Linked DNA regions of Sus scrofa. The protein of the gene in region 1 interacts with the protein of each later gene in a pairwise test. Links are inferred from orthologs where the notes say so. Each region holds a gene or a part of one and is shown in the gene's direction. Other genes may lie near its edges.

The links.
Region 2: the proteins of RHOA (region 1) and RIPOR2 interact in binary tests that used the Homo sapiens proteins (3 or more experiments, as listed by UniProt). The link is inferred for Sus scrofa from reciprocal best matches to the Homo sapiens genes RHOA and RIPOR2.

Annotation. Positions count from the first base shown.
Region 1 is NC_010455.5:31,988,408-31,992,406, reverse strand, and holds the start of RHOA (transforming protein RhoA), read left to right. Parts: upstream 1-1,199; 5' UTR 1,200-1,394; intron 1,395-3,999. Other genes in the region: TCTA (T-cell leukemia translocation-altered gene protein), read right to left, coding at 170-248, 572-794. UniProt on the Homo sapiens protein: Small GTPase which cycles between an active GTP-bound and an inactive GDP-bound state.
Region 2 is NC_010449.5:19,646,561-19,650,581, reverse strand, and holds part of RIPOR2 (protein FAM65B), read left to right. Parts: intron 1-701; coding exon 702-827; intron 828-1,120; coding exon 1,121-1,269; intron 1,270-3,213; coding exon 3,214-3,343; intron 3,344-4,021. UniProt on the Homo sapiens protein: Acts as an inhibitor of the small GTPase RHOA and plays several roles in the regulation of myoblast and hair cell differentiation, lymphocyte T proliferation and neutrophil polarization.

The DNA of each region.
Region 1 (3,999 bases):
GACATCAGTGTCACTTACAGCTTGAGCTCTAGTTAGAGACCTTGGAGTTTACTGCAAAGGCCACTAAGCTGGTGGACTCCTACCCTGAGAACTCCCCTCCCCTATCCTCAGCTCAGGAGTGGCCTCTATGTGCCAAGCATGGGGTTAAAGTGGGAAGAGATTTACTCACCAGGACGAGAAATGCGTGGAGCCATCAGGTGTGGATCCGTTCTGGCTGCCCAGACCTGGGGGCAGGAACACATCCAGAGCTGCAACAGGCTGGGGGTGGGTATCTGAGCAGGCATCAGCCCAGGTCAGGTTAGAGGCCAGTGGTATTTGTTGGAGAGTGTGGTGGAGGCCCTAAAGAACTTGTGGTATTGTCTGATGAGAGTGCAAGGGAAATTATATATCATGGGTGGACTGGTGGGGTTACTGGCATGAAATGCTATGTTGACATGGGTCAGGATACAGCGTTGTCATTAGGTTCTCAGGGCACCAGTGGTAATCTGGGGGGGAGGGTTCGGGGAACCCGAAGGTACAGTCAGTGCGGGAAGAGGGTGGCCGGTCCACGGAAGTTGGTGGGGAGCCTCACCTGGGCGGTGATACAGCCCGGTCACCGTACTCCCGTAGAACCCCCACGCCAGCTGGATGCTCAGGAGACTTAACACCAACCAAAGCAGCAGCAACTTGAAGAGGGTCACGCGCATGTCCTGAGCCTCCCACTCCCGCAGGAACTCGCTGCCGAGGGCGCCCAGCGCGCCCAGCACCGTGGCCGGCAGAACCTGCAAGGACTGCCCCGACCAAGGCTCCGCCATGACTGGCCGGTGGCGGACCCAGGGGACTGTCACCGTAGTCCCCACTGCGCAAGCGTCCGGTCTTCCGGAGCCAGACTCAATAATGCGCACGCGTAAACCGAGGCATGGAGCGCCTACCTCGCCTGCGCGCAGAGTTGGCAGTTGGGGCGGAGCAGTAAAACCGCGCACGCGCACCAAGCCCCACCCTGCTTAAAGGATGAGTGACTCGAGGAGTATAAAATAGCAACCAGCTCTTTTATAGCCCCAGAGTTCCCGTGATGCACCACGCGGCTGCAATGATTGGTTAAGCGTCTTGCTTTTAGGGTGTGGACGCGCTCCTGAGCAATCGTGGCTGAGCCCTGAGTGCGCGCGCGTGCGCGGGGCCGCGACCGGGGCCGGCTCGAGCCCGCTGGGCACTCGGGGGCGCGCACGTCGCTCCCCGCCCTCCCGCCGCCGTCGCCGCCCGCTCTTGCTCTCTCGCGCTCCCCGCCCGTCGCTCTCCGTCGGTTCTCTCGTTAGTCCACCGCCACCTCCACAGCCACCCGCCGTAGTCTTCGAGCTCGCGACTCGCGGACAGGCGTTCTCGGCGCGGAGAAGCCGGCCTTGGAGTCGTCGCCTTAGGTGAGCGAGAGGGTTCCCTCCTGGCGTCCCGGGCCCGCCCGCCCGGCACTCTTCCGGCCGCCCGCCAGCCGCCGCCCCGCCGCGGCCGCGCCCCACCTGCTGCTCTCGGCCGGGAGCCCCAGGACCCTGTCCCCTGACCCTAACTCGGGGCCCAGTAGCCGGGCTCCTCTTCCCAAAGCGGCGGCCCCGCCCGCGCGGTCCCCGGAAGCGCGCCCCGCGGCCTCCCGCGCCCCTTCCCCCGCCCGGCCAGGCCTGGTGGAGCCCTAGCCGCCTGCCCGCCCCGCGGTCCCGGGCGCTTCCTCTCTTAGGGCTGCGCGGGGCAGGGCGGGGGTTGTGAGACTGGCCCCACGACCCGGGGGGCAGCCGGCCGCTGGGAAGCGTGCTTGGCTATCGGAGTTGAAATGGGAAAGAAACTCTTTACAACTCCATTTTGGCTTTTACATTTAGTATGAAACATGAATCACCGTTTTATACTTGGTGAAGTCCAGTTACGTTTTGGGTATTTTCCTTTTTAATGCAGTATTCTTTGAGATTGTGTTAAGTAAAACAGTGTTGAAATCCTAGGGGTTAGGATTCTTCGATATTGGAAGAAGGGAATTTTCCAATTGAAGGGGATATTTTTCCTGATTAAACTATGTAGCATAAAAATATAGTATTAATTTGCAATTTTTCTTAGTCTGAGTTATTACCTTGATTAGGAATCACCTAAACATCTGTCCAGTTGGATCCAGTTACATGTTCATTAAATAGCACTATTTGCACTCGATTTGTTCAAAACCATGATTAGTAGTTAATGATGGAAAATTGGCATCCTTTTTACTTAAAGTTGGTTTCCCTTGTGTTTCATAATGGTCCTGATAAAAAGTTTTTACCTCTGTTGGTAACTTGTTTGGTTCTCTTTGTATTTAAGACAGTCTTTTGAAGTAAATGTCCCTTGCAGGTGTGTAATCAGATTATATTCCTGCCAGACCTGAAGGGGAAAAATACTTTAAAAAATTCTTTTAAATGTTGTATGTGGTGAGAATTTGTCAGCCACCTTGTGTCACACATCCAGATGTGTAATGCATTTGTACCATTGCATGATTGTCACTTTAGACATGACTAAATTGGGAGAGATGTTGTTTTGAGCATTTGGCACAAGTGACATTGTTTGGGGTGAAGATAAAAGATTAGCTTTTAATTATAAAGGGTAACTTAGTGAAGGATCTCTTTTGATAAATTGTCTTGAGTAGTTCCATCTAATTTTTGTAGAGCACTGGTGGCCCTTGGGAACATAAAATATCAGATGGAACTTGATTTTAGTAAAGATTAATCCTAGACTCATAGCTTCCGTTCTCATAAAAATCTGTATTAAAGGGAAGACGTTTTCATTGATCAAGAATTTTAGACGTGAAAGAAATCTTCAGGACTTGTAGTCCAACTCCATTTGCAGATGAGAAACTGAGTCCGACAGTCTTCAGTAAATTTCTCAAGGTCATATGTCTATAGTCAGGTGCCAGCCAGAACTATTTTCACTCTAAGATCTTCTTTATGTACTCCTAAACAGCTTGCTTAGAGTCAGCTAAAATTCAGTGCTTTCAACTTATTATAGTGTTTCTCCTATTATATATTGCTGATTTTATATACATTGAGAGAATCAGGAATATTTCACAAACAAATGTTTTTTAGCTTTTGCTCTGTTTTCTGTAACTGGATGGTTCTACAGCAGTTGATTGAAATAGGTAAATGAATATGCAGAGTCTCTGCCTGGCCTAGGTCATGGCTTTAGGTGTTTTGGTCTTCTTACGGGACCATCTTCTTCGGAGGTAAGCCCAGACTCCCTTGCTGTAAAACTAAAAGAATTAGGCCCTGATAAGATGTTATCAGGCGACTGTGGACTCTTTTTACTGTTGATTTGAAGCAGGATGAAGGGAAATAGCATATATCAAGAATATAGTTTCCATTGTTTGTGGTGATGGTTTTGCTGGAGTGTTTTCGGTCCCAATTCTTTTTTTGTCTGTCAGAAAACTCTTTTTAATAGTTTATCCTGGTCATGTGGGGTTTAAGTTATTTGGAGAGTAAAAACAGGTAGATCTTCAGGTGCTTCGTGTCCATTAAGGTGGAGTCCAAGCAGTGACTGGAGGAGGTGGGTTGCTACTTTGGGTCTTCTTACTTGTCCTGAGCTGAGAGATTTTTGTTAACTCTCAGAAGACAGATCGATTTTTCAACTTTTATGAGTACCAATTTGGACCTGCTGGGCTTCTATAGATAGCACCTTGTGTTTAATTGCATTATGGTTGCTAGTGATAATGATAAGTGGTGCATAATCACTGAATTTTAATCACATACATTTGTAATTGTAAAAGGTCCCTAAAGATATTTCATCTTCCTTTACCACTTAGTTTATCCCTTTATGCACCTGGCCTGTAGAACTGTTTGCCTGTACCTTCACATTAATGCAATGAAGTTTTAAACTTGTGTTAATGTATCTTACTATACTCTGCTCTTTGGGCATTTGCTAACTGTTAAGTACTTGTGAGATTAATAAATTAAAAATTTCAAGACACTTCTAAAGTTAGTAATTACTCTAAAATTCCTATTTCAAGTGTTTCTATATCTAGTGACT
Region 2 (4,021 bases), on another chromosome or scaffold:
ATGAAGTAAAATATATATATATATATATATATATACACACATATATATATATTTTTTTTCTCTCTTCAGAAGGAAACTTACATAATTATTTCATGTATCTCCTCCCAAACCCTCTACAATCACTCTTCTCGGCCGGGCGGGGGTGGGGGCAGGATGGTGGGAACGTATCTTCCTCTAAACAGCAAAGCTGTCTGACCAAGGAGACTGTACACCCTCTGCCCAGAGGATGGCAGATTTCGAAATCCTTGTCCAGTTCTATCTCCCTCATCCAGAGGGAGGATGTCTTATTTCTTGCTTCTGGCCACTCAGTAGATTTTAGCAGATGGTTCCCCATCTCTCTAAAGGAGCAGGGGAGTGTAGAGAATGAATCCAGTTGTTGTTCTGTTGAAGCAGAACTAAGCAGAGAAAGAGCTGGTTGACATGAGGGAGCCAAAGGGCGCGATGCAATGACCTTTTTCTAAAGAAAGCAGTTCATACCTTCTGTCCTAGAGAAGCAGGACTTACGCCCTTTTGAAAGTCCCCACTCATCCTCTGCTCCACCCCAGGGAATTTGGACCCAGCAATAAGTGGGTGGAGTGAGGCTGCTGGGGACCAGGAGAAGCTGCAGCCGCTTCCTGACTTGCCCTTTTGATGCTGGTGTTTGGTAGGGAAAGGGGGTGAGGGCAGTGGAACCTGAGGGCCCTTTGGCGTCTTCTCCCCAGATTTTCATGAAGTACGGCCGACAGAGGTGGAAACTGAAAGGCAGAATCGAAGTCAATGGCAAACAGAGCTGGGATGGAGAGGAAATGGTGTTCCTGCCCTTGATTGTTGGATTGATTTCCATCAAGGTACAGTATCATCACGTTTTCTCTCCTGGTGCCACGGCGGGATGGTCCATCGTGGAAGGCCTGTGTCCATGACCTCCGCCTGCTGCCCCTCCACCCCACAGACCTTGTGTACATCACAGAGCCCTGCCCTGGCGTCAGAGCGGGCAGGGTAAATGTGAGATGGCCTTCGGAAACATCCACCTCTGATTTCAGATATGATTCCGAAATGCCTGACCTGGCCACGCAAAACAGGAAGAGCATACCCCTTCCTTTGTCCTCTGCCATCCTGCAAGCCTTCTTCCCTCTCTTCCCAGGTCACAGAACTCAAAGGGCTGGCAACTCACCTCCTGGTCGGCAGCGTGACCTGCGAGACCAAAGAGCTGTTTGCAGCCCGACCTCAGGTGGTGGCCGTGGACATCAATGACCTTGGCACCATCAAACTCAACCTGGAAATCACCTGGTAGTAAGTTGCCCTTTTTGATTTCATCACATTAAAATATGTGCAGCAGGCTCGAGGTGTTCCAACGGTGGCATGTGGCCATGTACACACTACTGTATGTAAAATAAAAGAGTAGCAAGGACTCACTGTATAGCACAGGGAAATCTACTCAATATTCTATAATCACCTCTGTGGGAAAAGAATCTGAAAAAGAATGGATATGTGTCTACGCATAACTGATTGTGCTGTACACATGAAACTAACAACACTGCAGGTCAACTACACTCCAATAAAACTTTAAAAAAAAAAAAAAGGGATTCCAGGGAGCTTGATATGGAAGCGAACTCTCAGGCGCCACCCAAACTTCCTGTGCCAGAATCTGTCCGGGCCCAAGAATCTCTTTGACAAGCTCACCACGTGATGTTCACATGTGCCAAAGTTGGAGAGCCCTCGCTCTTATCACTACTCTCCTCTTTGATTTACTTTTTTTTTTTTTTTTTTTTTTTTTTTTGGTCTTTTTGCTATTTCTTGGGCCGCTCCCTCGGCATGTGGAGGTTCCCAGGCTAGGGGTTGAATCGGAGCTGTAGCCACCAGCCTATGCCACAGCCACAGCACCGCGCGATTCGAGCCGAATCTGCAACCTACACCACAGCTCACAGCAACGCCAGATCGTTAACCCACTGAGCAAGGGCAGGGGCCGAACCCTCAACCTCATGGTTCCTAGTCGGATTCATTAACCACTGCGCCACGACGGGAACTCCTGATTTACTTTTTCTTTTTAGCTGCACGCAGAATTTCCCTTTCCAGCCCAGGGATGGAACCCGCGCTAGAGCAGTAACAACACCAAGACCTTAACCGCTAGGCCACCAGGGAATTCCTGTTCTATTCTGCCTCCTCCCCTCCTTCTCAAGCTTTAAATGTATATAAAGAAATATATCTCTCAAGTCAAGTAACTTGAAAGAAAATAATTGCCCAATATGAGTTATTTTGCCCACAGAAAGATCCCAATTCTCGCTATGGTTGTTTTCATTGCTTAGCCCTTGTTATTTCATACATCTTATATTGATTGCCCTGGAAAATTTTGGCTAACTTTAGCCTCTCCACACTCTATCTGCTAAAAGAGAATGTTGCCAAAGGGCAAGGGATACCTTTTGCCAAAGCAAGGAACTTAAAAGTAGCTTTCTGAAGTTGCCCAGTGAGAAAGGCCATGATAAGTTATTAAACACTGGTTGCTCGCAACATTTGATCTTAAGCCCCTGGTATATTACCAAGCAACTCAGACATGCAGAGTATTTGTGTTCAGGGTCCCCTTTACACCTGAGAGGGTCACCCTTGGAAGCAGCAGAGACCTGGTGCCTTGTCATTGAAACAGTGTCCGCACCTTTTGCCCAGCCCCTCTCTCCTAAGAACTTGTAATCATTGGCATTTCAAATGCAAGGCCAGGCCTCTTGCTGGATGAACCCTTGGCGTGATGATAAATGGTGTCCTTGTCAACAGGCTGTTTTCCTCTCAATCACGCAAGAGGCTCTGGGTCAACAGAAATGAGCAAGAGTGTTTTCTTTAGGACCAAACAATAATCTGTTACTCTCCATATCATTAAAGTAACTGTCCTTGCAGAGCCCCCGGAATTTTTACAGACTTCAACATCTTGTGTTGGAACAAGCTTTCATATGTTTATGTCTCTTGTATGAATGAGGAAGCCGATTTATCCAGTATCCAGGGTCCATATAAATTGTGCCTAAAGCTGTGACCATAATCTCTGGTCCCTCGGGCCAGTCTAGACTCCGTTTTCTGCGCCACTTGTTGTTATCTTGGTTTGTTTGCTGACAGACCAGTCTGGCCCAAACCAGCCCGGTTCCCACTGGTTTGACTTTCCGTTAGCATGATGAGGTGCTTTCTTGGCCTGCGGTCCAGTGATTATAGGTGATTTTAACAGACGTGCATTCACGGGGACTTGTTGTTTTGCAGTCCTTTCGACGTGGAGGACATGACCCCATCTTCGGGGGCTGGGAACAAGGCGGCCGCCCTGCAGAGAAGAATGTCCATGTACAGCCAGGGCACCCCGGAAACGCCCACCTTCAAAGACCACGCCTTCTTTGTAAGTTCAGTGTGATTTCTGGAGGAGATGATGAGCCCGAGTGCCTGCATCCAGCATTTGAAACGCTTAGCATACGGTGTTAGGGAGTCTCACTAATTCCTAATGCAGTCGTCCCTGGGTATCTGTAGGGGAGTGGTTCCCTTTGATACCAAGACCCAGTGATGCTCAGGTCCCTTATGTAAAATGGCACAGTGTTGGCACATAACCTATGCACATCCTTCTGGATACTTTAGATCACCTCTAGATGACTTATAATACCTAATACAACATAAAGGATATGTAAATAGTTGCCAGAAAATTGGCAAAGTCAAGTTTGGTTTTTGGAACTTTCTGGAATTTTTTTTCCCGCGGATGCAGAACCCTCGGATACGGAGGGCCGACTGTAATTTTACATTCACGTTCACTCCACCTAACGGTGACTAAGAAAGCGCACTCCAAGATGCTTTTGACCACCCATGCCCAGGTGGTAAACCTCTTCTGTCTTTCCCCTCCCCTCGCCCCCCTCACCTGTTACTTTGATCAACACCTGTAGACTTTTCTGCACATTCTCTAAGGACCAGCCTTTCAAAGAAGTGGATATAGATAACGGCCTCCTTGTTTTAATCCGAAACGCTTGATAAAAAGCTAATGAAAACGTGGTAACCTGCTGCTTTCCACTAACTCCCCCATCTTGCTTTG